Struthio camelus: one gene and its partner. The protein of the gene in region 2 interacts with the protein of the main gene of each other region in a pairwise test. Links are inferred from orthologs where the notes say so. Each region holds a gene or a part of one and is shown on either strand. Other genes may lie near its edges.

Evidence for each region. The genes of interacting proteins can lie anywhere in the genome.
Region 1: the proteins of FEZ2 (region 2) and SCOC interact in binary tests that used the Homo sapiens proteins (3 or more experiments, as listed by UniProt). The link is inferred for Struthio camelus from reciprocal best matches to the Homo sapiens genes FEZ2 and SCOC.

What each region holds. Positions count from the first base shown.
Region 1 is NC_090945.1:32,973,524-32,981,051, reverse strand, and holds the start of SCOC (short coiled-coil protein), read right to left. Parts: upstream 3,051-7,528; 5' UTR 2,947-3,050; coding exon 2,811-2,946; intron 1-2,810. UniProt on the Homo sapiens protein: Positive regulator of amino acid starvation-induced autophagy.
Region 2 is NC_090944.1:101,997,285-102,004,217, reverse strand, and holds the start of FEZ2 (fasciculation and elongation protein zeta-2), read right to left. Parts: upstream 3,013-6,933; 5' UTR 2,913-3,012; coding exon 2,668-2,912; intron 1,044-2,667; coding exon 935-1,043; intron 1-934. UniProt on the Homo sapiens protein: Involved in axonal outgrowth and fasciculation.

The DNA of each region.
Region 1 (7,528 bases), on a different chromosome or scaffold from region 2:
AATTTCGTGGAAGACTTTTTAGCGAGGTTCCATAAAGCTGTACTAGTAACAATGAGATGAAAAGCTATTTTCCTGTTTTATTAAGTTAGGCCTAAGTATTTAGAGCTTTATTTCTGCTTTTTAAAGAGAATGTATGAGAATATATGAGAAATTCAGTCCTTAATGTTGGCTTTCTGGGAAATAGTATTTTAAAAAAAGAATAAGAGAAGTTTATGCAACTTTTAGGTATTGTTTCACTGTTTTGTTTTCTTTTTGGCTTAATTTCTTCTTTACTTTCATTTGGGCCTGTAATTTTAGGGGGGGAAAGATTATCAATTGAGTGCTATGATTTTATACATTAAAGGATATTTCTTTCACTAAGGGTGAAAATATTTTCTTACCTCTCACAAATGCTGTTAATGAATGCTTTCCTTGGTTTCAAAGGCTTGTGATATTGCTATTAACATATTGATCAAGAATTTTGTCTTGCTGCCATTTCATTTTCATCCTGATTTAAAGTGATTTATTTTTAATACCTGTGTACTGAATGACTAGCAAAATGCTACTGTTTTGAAAGAGCATTAGCTATTAAATATTCATGGATTGCGCTCAGTTAATCAGGCTCAGAAACCCCTGTTGCTTTGTCACAATAGCTTTTCACTATACTAAAGAAACTCTGATATGAAGGATTTTTTTTTGATTATGTTATCAGATTGTATATATGTAACGCATTCTTCTACTTGTCTATGTTAGTACATTTTTAAAAGATGGGAGGAAAGCCTCATGTGGTGAGTGCAAATATAACGTAGTTCATTAAAACCAGTGCGTCTTTGTGATCCTACTTAAATTGTAATTATGGAACACTTGCTTCTAAACATCATCAGCTCATCCTCAGGCAAAGTCCGCTTGTTCATAATGTTATTTTAAGATGTATGTATTGCTTGTTGTGTTTCTTTATTCCTTGCATGAACTTACTGCTGTCCATCCTAAGGAATCTTTTTCTCTCTCACTCTATAATACTTTTCTCCTCCTCTCTCCATGAACCTTACTATATTCTCTCTCTCTCTCTCTCTCTCTCTCTCTCTCTCCCTTCAAGAGAAAGCTTACCTGAATATATCACTTTGTTTTCAGTTGCTCTGAATTTCTCTCTCGACTTTTGAGTGACTCTCCCTCCCTCTTCACTACTGGGAAAACGCTCTGGTATCAGTAGCAGATCTTGTATTAAGAGGCCTCATTTGGGGAGTTCATTCTTCTTGGAGAGCGATCCACTTGTACTTCAGATCTTTGTGCAGTGCATGCTACACATCTTACTTGTTTAATTTCAGATGAAGAGGGGAACTATTAATGCTGTCTGGAAGTGGTTTAAAAAAATGGAAAGTTCTGCTATACAGTGCAATCAGCGATAACAATCTTTGTGTAACTCAGAAGGGACTGAATTTCAGAATAGAAAGGAATAGCACAGGAGCAAAGTCCTCTTCCTGATGTGAACACGAGCTTCATATGACTTTGGGTGTGTTACTGCAGTCAAGAATCTAGTAATTTTAGAGGTGCAATTTCTTAGGTGCAGCAGAATCTTATTTGCACTATTGCTGAGCAGTTACTTCTACATCTGTGATATCTGTCAGAGCTTAAGCATTAGTGAATATCAAGTCCTGAATGCCTAGGCTGGCTTTACTGTTGCATAGCTTAGCCTCTCTGGAAGTCATTGCAGAGTCATTCCTAATCTGTTCTTGCCCTATTATCTGTGCAGCAAGCCACGAAAAGGTGTCGTAGGAAACTTACTGTTCTGCACTTTTTCAGAGAAATAGTCTTAGGTTCACTGTCAGGAAGACACTCTGTTATTGCAAGACTTGCCCCAAGGACTTGAATTTTATCTTATTGTGAATAGTTCAAGTCAACCACATATGTCACTAAGCTATATGCTTTAAAAAAAACAAAGTAATTGCATTGAAACATCCATTTCAGCTCCATCATGCTCATATGAAATTGCTGAAGAACTACATTCTAAAAATAAGGTTAACTTCATGTGCTTTTTATATACAAGATATAGAAGATGGAACTTAAAATAACATTTTTTTTTAATCTTAAAAAAAAAAAGTAAAGAAAGGAAAAATGGGACTTGCATTATTCATTAATCAACAATCCAGAAGCTAGTGTAAATTAGCACAGGTCTATGGCAGCCATGCTGACTTGCTACAGTTGATACTCTGGCCGCACCTTTCTAAATAATTTATTGTCACTCATATTAACTCACGTCATTTTTCCAGTATATAGAAATATCCTGCCTCTCATTCCAAATCACTTTTACTCCGTAAGTTAGAGGGGCAAAGGGAGACATTCTTTGCTTTTGTAGTTTCCTTAAAAACTACTAAATTCTTAATAATGGGGATTTAAATGATCAGTTCATTTCTGTTACTAATTAGTTTGTATCACTTTTTGTGAGCTCTCACTAGAGCATGTCAAACAGCACCTTTCCACATTCAAGAGGAAAGGCTGAGACTATCTGTATTTTTTTGATATTAGCAACTACTAAGTTAACGCTTCTGAAATTTTTTTCTTTCTAAACAAGTGAAAGATAACATGTATTTCTTATCTGAGCAGATATCTTATTCTTAACATATGCTATTATGTGAAAACTGTGATAGCCCCTAGACCCCCCAAAATCTCAATTTTTAATTAGTCGTAAGGCTTATTCAACTGTTTACTTAAGGGCATTTTCTAAAAATACATTGTACTTGGTAATGAGGAACAAGAGATTTGTGTGCTCACCCAGTGTTATTATTCAGCCGATGGAATCTGTAGTTCATCACTAGATTACTGTAGTTCCTTACCTGAATCGTCTGCCAAAGAAATGTTGGTGAAAGTGCCGTCCTCCTCATCCAGAGGTAACTCCATTTTGCTTCCTTCTTTTGAGCAAAGTTTAAGTGCATTAAGCATAACAGTTGTCAGCCATTTTTCAGTGTGCATGTGACTTCTCTTGTTAAATCTTTAATGAGTCCATACACCACACAGGTGTTATCTGATCCTGTCTGCAACTATACACATCTTTCTTTCAGTGTGGTATCTCATCTGAACTTTGAGCTCTTTTCCGGAAATTGTTAAACTGGAAGGTTAAAGAGTATAACAGCTTTGTCAAATACATACTGAGCAAATGCCATTGTTTCAGACTCTTTTTGTGAAAGAACTGTGTTTTCACGCTAAGGAGGCTTAGTTTTTTAATTTTTCTCTAGGGCCGTGTACGTTTCTTTGGATAGAGGAAAAGAGGGAAAAATTGACTTTTAAGTGTTCAGAAATGTTACTTATAGCCCAAACAAATTCAATAGACAGTTTTGGGAGCAGCCGGTTAAAAATCTAGTCTTCACATGCTTAGGAATATGAGTAGTTTTACATATGTGAAGAGTCGCATCAAAACCAGTGGAGTAGTGCATGCAAGTAAAGTTATGTAAGTGAGCATGTGATGTTCTGTGATAGGTTCTGTGATGTTCTGTTGTCAGAAAGAACTTTAGTTCAAACAAAAAAAAACTTGCCTCTTCATATTTTGTCTGGACACATCTACAGAAAACTGAACATAGTTTGAACATACAAACTAGGAAATTCACCTCAGACTACTTACCGCTTGGAAATACCTATCTTTTGCACTCATGGGTAGAACGTTGGTTTCAACTTATTTAAAATTATGAATGGCTCTGATTTTGATCAAAGACAATGTAGTGAAAGTGGAACCATGTCATTTTCAGGGGTTTGCAGGTTCAGAGTCTGCCTGATTTGATTTATGTTTAATTAATTTTTTTCCAGGAAAAGGCTATAAATTTAGGATATTGACAAAGGATTTTTTAATTGTAATTAGGAACCTCTCTGAAGTCTCACTAAAAACTGAATGTTAGTTATGTGAAGCATTGTCTAACTACAGAATGAGAATTTACAGTTTGCCTTTCACACAACCATAATCTTGATTTGGACTCCCGAGGCAGCTTCTTTGTACAGAGGTAAATGCATGCAAGTTTGCAGGAAGAAAGGAAAAAGATAGTAAACACAGAGGCATGGGAAGTGATGAAGTGATGCAGCTTACAGAAATGATAACTGTAATGCTGCTCATTTTTTTTCCCTGATACTTTAATTGCTTGTGCATGCTTTAATTTTATTATTTGATTATTTTTTTTTTTCCCCCCCTGTTCCTGTAGGTGTAAAGCTACTGACAACTGCCTTCAGGAAGTACTGAAAATTAAGCATGCTGCATTTATTTTCAGAACAGGGTTGTGAGTTATTCATTTGAATTTAGCTCTAACTGATGTGAAACAGAAAAGATTGCCTTGGTCTTGAGTAGTCTGTATAAGAGACCTCCTTGTTTCATTCCAAATCCTTGGGTATCACAAAAGCTGATGTTAGTAATTGATACATGTGTGGACAGACTTGGCAAGCACCAAAGAGATGTGGAGGCTCTATATACCTAAAATGTGATTCTCGGTGAGAGCTGGGACTTTTATGACACTGTATAGGATTATGGGCTATATCCGTTCCATGAGTAAAAGCTGAAGTCCAAGATTTTACTGTATGTGTTTCTAAAAAGTTTTATGTTTACTTGTAAATTCTGAATGAAAAAGGAAAAGGAAGAAGGAGAGATGGGAGAAAACAAGCAGTTAATGGAACTTCCAACAGATAGTAATGCTGTCATATGTCCACAGGTGTGTTAACTATTTTCACCTGGTCTTTTCTCAGATGTTGCCCAATTTTAGCTGCTTATAATCCTTCTCTGTTGTCATGTTGAAATTTGATTGTTTCCTTTGATGGGGGAATGCCTATGTTTCTTTTTTCTTCTTTCAGTGGTGCAATAGCATGCTTCAGAATGTTCACAGTAACTATAATAAAGCTAGAAAAAGGGGAAACATTTCAATCTTTCTTTATTTTTGTCCTTTACTGTTTTCATACATGTTATAGATGGTTGAAACACCTGATCAACTTGTTTTGGAAGGGCAGATCAAAAAAACCAGCACAATTATGTAATTCATTACTTCTGAATTTTATGAAATTATATGCGTGTGGAACTAAGGGATGAATCTTGTCTGAACTGTGCAGCCTGTATCTAAAGTGTTTGTTTAACATTTCTTGCCTGTGTCAATGTGGTTCTATTATATTGGCCATTTGGGCTCCCTCTGGTAGATACAATTTCCATGTAAATTATTATCTGTTTTTAGACAGATTAGACATCGAAAACAATTGTGCAACCTCCACATTCATTATGCAGCATAATCTGCATGTCTACATCAAAGCTGCTAGTAAAGGTGATGTATAGTAAAAGCTGTATGTTAGTAAGACTGAATAAGAATCTCTGCAGAAGAATGTGTGATTTGGAGTTTGGCAGTCTCATGTGATATGTACTGATTCCTGCAATTTCTGAGGTAAGGCTCTTATACCAAAGACATTCCACCTTATACAGCACCAAAGAGCTGTAACCTGAGGAGTTATTTTTCATGGCGTACGGACTCTTGACTGCAAGGCTCAAAATTAAGGCTGCTCCGCAAGTGTGATTCAGAGCTCCTTTACAGCCTCTTTGGAAGGTCTTTGGACAAATCACATACTTCAGTTCCTCAGTCAGTGCTTCTCTCATTGCCCCTGCAGAAGGAGGGAGAGTGCATAAAGTGTAGGTGCATATATATAAATACATGCATATAGTCACTCTGGTGCTATTTACAGAGCTGCATTGTTTCCCAGAAGATTGCCTTTCATGGGCATCTGGAAATCTACTGGGTTTGTGGGAGATCTCCACAGCTGGTTCACAGAAACAGACTCTTTCCCCAACAGGAGGGGATGGGATTTAACTAGGAGGGCTCCAAAGACATTGTCTCATCTTTCTTGCACACAGGGTTTTACACATTTAAAACATACGCCTATGTTCTGCGTCTTTAAAAGCACCGTAGAGTTAGATCTATAGCTTGCTTGTCTGAGTGGTGTGGTGAGAAACATTTTCTCTATTGGTGGCCTGATATTTTGTTAGTGAAATAAGGTGCTTTGATGAAAGGTGCCGCGTAGGTGTGACACAAAAGTACCCATTTTTTGCTGTCATCATGTTTGTTTTGTGAGGAAGAGCAGGAAGGAATAGCTGTAGACAGAGGAACTCTGAATAGCTTGAAAGAAAGCTGTGTAATGGAGTTAACTGTCAGAGCACAATGAGCTTAACTATTTCCATCTGTGAATTACTTCACTTTACATTAGTGTCCATTACTCCAGTAAAAGTTTGGTTATAAAACATCAGTTCATCTTGCTCAGGGTTTCATTAGTACATTGAAAAGAGGTTGGGGAGTACCTAGCAGCTCTCTGGCTGCCTCTTTAAACAGGGGTGGGTAAATTAAGGCTGGGGGAGGTAGGAGAGGCTGTGAGCCTTTTATTTGACATTAGCGCAACAGCACCTGGGAATGTTGGTAGCCTTGTGCTAGGCCAGTTCCGAGGAGTATTGATAACAAGCAGGTTAGCAAAGCACTGTCTGGATATGACAGTCATGAAAGCAGCAGATAAATGCCTAAGAATGTCATCAAGTTTGGAACTGAAATGACTCTGCAAGCTGAGGATTTTATATCAAGTTGGGCAACTTTGTATGAAATATGCAATTATAGGAGGGTTTTTGTCCTTAGATTTAAAACATTGTAGCTAAAATCTGCATAGTAGTGGCTTGTTTCCCTTTTTGCTACTGTAGCTACCGTGTAATTTTTTTTCCTAATTAAAATAATTGAATAGTGACCTGGAAAGGAAGTTGGCTTGGAGTTAAGTACAGATGTATGGAACACCATAGCTGAACGACAGCATGGGCTGTGACACTTATTTATACTAACAGTTTAACAGCGCTTCTAGCTCAGTTGAGGCAGACTGCAGTGCAACGCTCTTTATGCAGACCTCAGCCTTGCACTTATGAAGTGAACTGAACTATAGTATCAAATTATTCAAGTGCTCCTCACCTGCTTTCCTGAGTCTGCTGTTATAGGGCTAATTTGTCATCTGGGAATCCACAGCTGTGATGTGGTACCTTTGGAAACATTTCTTGGTGCCTGTATTTCAAACCTTGCTCTAGCTTGGCAAGGCAAGAGGAAAGAGTGGGATCAGAGACAGGAGGTTAGTAAGTGGAGAGAGGTTTTGTCATGTGTACCACCTCATAAAATCTTGTTGGACCCCTTGTTTCAAAGCTGTTATTTTACCTGTATGTTTAGCTGTATATTTATCTCTATACCTGGTAGCACCCTGATACTTTCTGGATATCTTTAGTAGTAGAAAAAAAAAAAAAAGGGTCACAAAAACACTCAAGTGAAAGAAAGTTTCTAACTACCCCAGGGAATACTGGAACAGAGTCAGAATGTCTCTGAGTAGGTTACATGCTTGTGACAGCACAGTTGTAATGGTTGATATTGCATTGGGTTGCACTGCACTGTCTCAGATATTAACATATTCAGCTGCTTCTGTTGCATAGTGGTTTGATAAAGAGAAAGTCTAATTTTAAGGCAAGTTTTGCAAATGTGGTTGTACATAGTCTAAGCAACACAATATATTAAGTCTGGAAAGGATT
Region 2 (6,933 bases):
ATTAACAAATCCTCTATTAATAAAAATCAGAATAAATCAAGTCAAATTCAAGAAAATAAATAATCAGACCCAAACAGAAACAGAGTTCCAGACTGTCATCCTCTCCTGCAGAAAAAAATAATTTTTTTTCGGGTATCCTTTTCACAATCTTTTTTTCTGTCACTGTAAGAAAAGTAGCTGTGGATTACTTAACGGATAGCAAAAGTCAAACACTCATTTATTTTCAGGTTTCACACAGGCACGTGTTTTTACAACTAAACTTCAGTATGTTTAAAAGATAAATAACCTGTTTACTCAGAAGACTTTGGAGACTGGAATTCCTCCCAGCTTTGCTTCCTAAGTGTTTTAACTGACTTTTCAGAAGATCACAGGACAACTGTTTCTTTAAATCTCTGAAACTTTTCATTCTGTACTCCCTCTTTAGACAACTATTTTGCTTGTTAAATACAAACTGAACTGTTGCATTTTAGTATCTCCTGGGTCTTCTTTCCTGCAAATGAATTCACTTTAGCATCTATCTGACTGTCGAATGAGGTCATCACTGAAAAAGTCCACAGTGGATTTACTCAATAAGAATACCCCCTCCTTCCTTGCCCCATCACGGACTACTTCAGCATGAAAGGCCAGGAGAAAGTTTTTATGCCAAACACTTTCACGATTTACAATTTTGCCTATCATGCTCTGCTCTGGCGAACGTTAGCTTATTCACTCATCTAAAACTAACCCTTATATACTTCATATTGAAGAAAAGCAAATACATATCAATGGTTATCAGATGGTTATAAATCCTCTCATACTTATGCCTAAGGCCAAGCACAAAAAATATTTTAAGTCATTTAAGATCAACACTATTTTGTACAAATATAAATTGTTTTATTTCCCCTGCTGAGCATAAAAGAGCCCCAACAGGGTATTTTTGATAGTCAGAACTTACCCCTTTTTCTGAAAGATTCAGTGTTGGCAAGTGCAAAGCTCTGGTGTGGGAAGATTTCCAGTCAACTGGCATTACGTTACCATAATTATCAGTCAAAGCATTCCAAATCCTGCAGAGAGGAATAAAGGAACAAAAATGCAGACCTTCACATGAATAGCAACTGATCAGCAGTTAACATATTTTTAATGATAATATATTTCTACCAATAACTATTTTTCTCTCTAAATACTCATCTACAAGTTACTGACAATATTTTAGTAATATTCTGAAGTCAAAGAAAAAAATGTTTTTGAAAGGCATCCTGTATCTCTCTTTTTAAATCTCAAGTTTATGCATGGCAGTGAAATAACAGAATAAAAAGACAGCTTCATCAAAAATTATATAACCATATTTGAAATCTCTTTTGGAAGTGGATGAGCCCTTCCTTTGATGAAATCTCAGGCAAGCTATAAGCTCTTTTCCCAGTGTTACTATTTTCCTTGCCTTTTGCACCTTGAAATTCGGAATTAGCAGAGGCTGAAGAGCAACTTCCAAGCCAAACCTCAATTTTTACAGCTTGTTTTAACTGCATCTGTAAAAGCTTCTTTTTTTTCTATTTAGCTCAGAATAACGAACAGGCACAAGTTATACTAAGATCCAGCAGAATTTCATTTTATCCAGACGCACTCTTGCTCAGCTCAGCTCCTCACTCTTGTTTACAGTTCATCTTAACCACGTTCACACTGTACAACAAACTCTGGCCTTGCATGTGCTGCAGTACTTTGAGACACCAGTTCAGATTTTGAAACAGAGCAGCCCTATTAGCAGGTTGCCTCAAGTCAGCTAACAGTTGATGCATACTTGGAGTGGTTGCCTAGCTGGGCTCAGAGGAGGTCAGAGACTCAGGCAGACTCCGAAGGGCAGGCAGACACCCTAGCACTGCACAGCCACTCTAATTCAGGGTTCTCTATACTTATCTCACTCTTTATACCATAGATACCTCGAGTGTGGTGTTTTTCTAGATTATTTTCTTAGGATAGGAGATACAGTCTAGTTATGTCAAGGTAAAAAAAAAAATGCTGCAGTATTACTAAAGAAGATAAGCCAACAGTGAGATTTGCAGCTACAAAATAACGTGAAAAGAAAAACAGCATAGCTCAAAAAGACTCTGTTACTCAGTGAATAAAACATAATTATAGTTGCGATTTTCTCCGAGATTCTCTTCCGCATCTAAACTGCTTTCCACATATGATTTCAGACAAACACTGCCCTGTGGGCATTTTACAAGAAGCTAAATAAATATTACCTTCAGTCACTTTGTGCTTCAGAACAGTTACCCAAAAGGGAAGAGACACTGAGATATGCACTTTTTTTTTTGACAGTTACAAGCCAAAAGGCTTAAAGCCAAACTAGCGCCAGCGGCTCGGCCAACCCTTCCCGGTTCAGGTCGAAAAAGCCCGTCTGAACTGCCGGTGCCAGGCCCGCCGGCCCCCAGGCCCACGGCGAGGGCAAAGACCTCAAGCCCTGCTCAGACTGGGCGAGAGCAGCCGACCCCTAAGGCAGGATAAAGGGCAGCGCGGGGGCTCGGGCCAGAAGGCCCCGAGGCGACGCTTTCAGACAGCAAGGGCTGAGGCCGACCCACAGACCCCCTACGGCTCCCTCCCCCCCTCCGGCCCCACACCCCTTCCTGCTGCCTGCGACGGCCGCCCCCGCGACGGCCGCCGCCGGGCCCTGCCCCGCCGGGCCGCACTCACTCGTCGTCCTGCAGGGCGCTCTGCTCCGTGAGGGGCCGCAGCGCAACGCGGCTCTCCCCCCCGCCGCCGCCGCCGCCGCCGCCGCCGCGGGCCTGCGGGGGCTCAAAGCAGAGCGACAACTTAGCCGCCAAATCCCCCGCTCCCCAGCCGCCTTTGTCGCGGGCCGCCTCGGGGCCGCTCCCCGCGGCGGGCTGGAAACCCGAGAAGTCCTGCCAGTCCCCCGGGTCTCGCTGCGAGGCCGCCATCGCCGCCGCCGCCGCCGCAGCAGGAGACACCGGGCTGCGCGCCCCCGGCAGCGACACTCGGCGCTGCGCGCTCCCGGCCCCTCCCGCAGCGCCGGCCGGGGACGGAGGGGGGCGGGGGGAGGGGCGGGGCGCTTGACGGCGCTGGGCGGCCCAACGGCCGCGCCCCAACGGCCGCCGCGGGGGGCGGGGCTTGGCGCGCGCCGCCGAGGGGGGAGGTGCTGGCGGCGGACGGGGCGGCGCGTTATCCGCGGCCGCGCTGAGGCGAGGTCGACCCGGCGTCTGCGCCCGAGGGTGAAGCGGTGCCTCCCGGCCACGGCGGGCACCGAGCAGCGCTGAACCTGCCTAGAGCGGCCGTTTGTAGCCGGCGTGGGCTCGGGTGCGTTGCCCGGGACCACCCAGCCTTTGCCCCGGTAGAGGCACGGGGCGCGGCCCGCAGCCTGCCCTGTGGCGGCGGCGTGGAGACTTGCTGCGAAGGGGGAAGACCGGTCCCGGAGGTGCTGCTGCCGCTAACAAAGACGCCTTGGAAACAGGCATTTCAAAGGATACCGCCGTGCTTCTGTAAAAACTGGAGAGTCGCTGCTTAATTTTACCACCGCTAGAGAAAGCGGAGAGATGCGTTTGCGGATTTAAGCTTCGACAATGAAAAGCATCGTTTCTGGAGAACTGGGGTTTCTCTCCAAGGAAGGTGATGGCTGTGGGCCTGAGGCCTAAACGCAGTGCTTCTGAACAACGGGGCAGTTCACTGGGGAAAAGGGAGGGAAGGGAAAGGAGGAATGTTTGCTGTAATTTCATTGTAACCTGGTAAGCTGGGGATGCGTGGGTTTCGGGTTATTTTCAGAATTTGGCCATCCACAAGCATGAAATGAACTTTTGGAAATACTTGGTTTTTATTAGCACATCGTCACTCCCCTTCCAGTCCTTTTCTGTCTTTTATGTGACATCTATTTGTACAATAGCTTATGACAGGCTTTTTTTAATCTAGAACTTCTTTGATCCGCTGTAAACTTTTGGCATCCCCAGTAGTACCTGGCAAGAAACTTCTCCGCTTGAAGAAGACTCAAAGCAAATACAAGATCTTAAGTTTCTTTTCATACTTCCTACTTGCTATTTTGAAAGAGACAGCAAGTGGAAAATCCATCCCTTGTTCAGCTTCTCCATGCCGCACAGACATTTAAAGACATTTAAAGATTTATCCTGTAACATGCAGTTACTGCTTTTCCAAGCTGACGCTCCCTAGTCTATGTAGGTATTCCAGATACGATCCTTTCTGATACTGTGAATAGTGTGAGGGAGACCAGGACTACTTTCAGTGTTCACACATGGGTGCACCATGGATTTACACATTGGCATAATGTTGTTCTTTGGTTTGTACCTGCTTCCTAACATCCTAGTTAAGTTACTGGTGATGACGTATTTTCACAATACTGTTTATAATAATCCATTTTTTTAGCAGTAAAAGCATGCACTGCCCGTTACTACGTACGTAAATTTTTTTTTTTTCCTACACATGCACGACCTGAGGAAATAGTGGAATGTTTGCGGGCAGGGTGAAGAATATTTAAAGACACTATTCTGGAAGACATATGACCTCTCAGAGCAAAAAAGCTGGAATAGTTAACTAGCAAGCGAAAGGAAATTACTGGACAGAAACAGACATCTTTCAGACAGTAGAGCTGCATCCAAATGAGGAAATCAGTACATAGTCTCCAGCAGGTTAAATCTAAAAATATAGCAAGGCAAATCAAGAATTTAAGAAACAACTTGCAAAAGTCAAAATACCATAGTAAACCCCTTTCTGGATTATATCTTGAGTAAAAAGTTTGCTGGAGTCCATAGGGCTAAAATGTGATGAAGGTATAAAAAGGACTACTTAATAAAATGATATCAAACCCCTGAATTTAGGTTTCTGCATCTGTTCACCTGGGAGAGGTGTGAATACTGGGTCTCCTCTTTATGGGTTACCACTAGAGTCCAGCAGGTATTCTCTACACTTGAGGACATGCTCTTAAGCACATGAAAGGATGTGAACAGGAGAGGGAATAGCAAAGAAACAAAAGGTAGTAAGTTATTCAGAGCAGTAAAAGTAAGGGCTGGCTGTGAGAATTTCAATATATTATGATATTGAATCATTATATAAAATATGGATGAAATTCAGCATCCATAAATAAAGGGATGCATGTGAGAGGGGAAAACAAAACAAAACCGCTGACCTGTCCTAGTCAAAGTCAGTGATGGGCTTCATTACTACTACTACTACTTGGGCATTTTCGATTATTACAGCTACCTCTGTGAGAACACTGACTCGGTGGTCAGTAGCAGTCAAGCCAGTATATAAAAGGCTATGTCCAGGGTGCAGCATGTTTAAACAATGTGGACATTTTCAGTCCTTCTGCCGTTGATCTAGAAAGGATGTAATAGCATGGGAAGTGATACAATGAAGAGCAAGGATGACCAAAAGGTATGGATGGAATGGCTCTCATACAAGAAGCCTAGGACTCTACAGCACAGAAAAGAGAAGACAAAACAGAGAGAAGATGGAGGTCTGTAAATTAATGGGTGGCATATAGATGCTGATCCACTCCTCTAATTAGATGCTGAAAGTAGGGGATACCAAATGAAACCATTAAGGGAGTACAGTCAAAGCAAGAAAAGGAGGCAGTTTTTCCACACATCATGTAGTTAAGCTGAGAAATTCCTTGCCTCAAGGTGCTACAGATAACCAGAACTTTCCATCAATTCAATTATTTTACAAATTAATAGAAGAAAGAACATTGTGGGCTAATATGGGTGTTCTCTATGGCTCAGGAAGTCCTTGAAATGCAAATTGCTGGAAAGAAACCATCATTTCCTCTTTTTACACGCTTTCCTACGTATCCACTACGGGTCACAGTTGGAGACCACGTACCAGCTTAGACAGACCTTTGGTTTTGTTGAGTATAGTTTTTTTTTTTTAAACATACATACGTTTTTGCTTTTCTGTGTTTTAATTGTGACAAAGCTAAGCTTCATTTCTTTTTGGCATGAGAAAACTTAGCTGAGATTTCTGGCCCTCTTGTTGCTGTTGTTCTCCTCGCTCCATGTTATTATGTATCAAAAATAAACAAGTAAAAAAAAACAAAACAGAAAAGGAGAGTTTAAGCATGGTCTCTGATTCTACAGACCTTCTATAGGACCTATAGGAGGGCCATTAAGCTCATACCACAGCCCCATATGATTATTTGTGACTCTGCGTGATAGTTGTGATTAGACCAGATGGCATGGCGGAGGCCTAACTTTGAGAGATTTTTATTTACTATATGCTGAAACTATCTGGGATTCCACAAACCCCTCTAACGTGAAGGTTCTTCTGTGTAAAATTCAGAACTTTCCCTAACTGAAGGAATAGTTGCTGAAGTAACTATTCTTTTCCTATAGTTTTCCTCAATTGTACTGGACTAAGGTCAGCTTGATGACACGAATTCTTACTTCAAGGGAAAAATAATATCAAGATAAAAACTAATGCCTCAAGGACCACTTCAGGGAAGTAATAAATACAAACATTAAAAAAAATATGCATCAGTAGGTTTAAAATTTTTTTATTGTGCTGCCAAGAGCCAAATTACAAGAAACCGCCTTACAGTTAAAAAAGTAAACAAGCAATCTGCTGAACCGCAGTGCACTCCGAGTGCCACATATGCATCTATTTTTCAGAAAATTATATCTGCATTTCTCTTACAAGAGCACAACAGGAACCAAAGTAAAAGAGTGTAATGGATACAGCACATAGGATAAATCATATCTTTAAAATAATAATAAAATAATAATAATAATAAAAAAAACATTTTACACCATGTCCTATATCCTGCTAATATTTTCAGAATATGGCCTTGATTGTAAAACAAAAGCAAGCATTTACAATTCTGGATAAAGACTGCTTACTCTTAATGCAAGGAATGGATGTTTTGTCTTGACAAAATCTTTGCAGTAACTGGAGAGAAACATCTCTGTTTCAGTATCAGATTGAGTACAAAACACTGGGGAG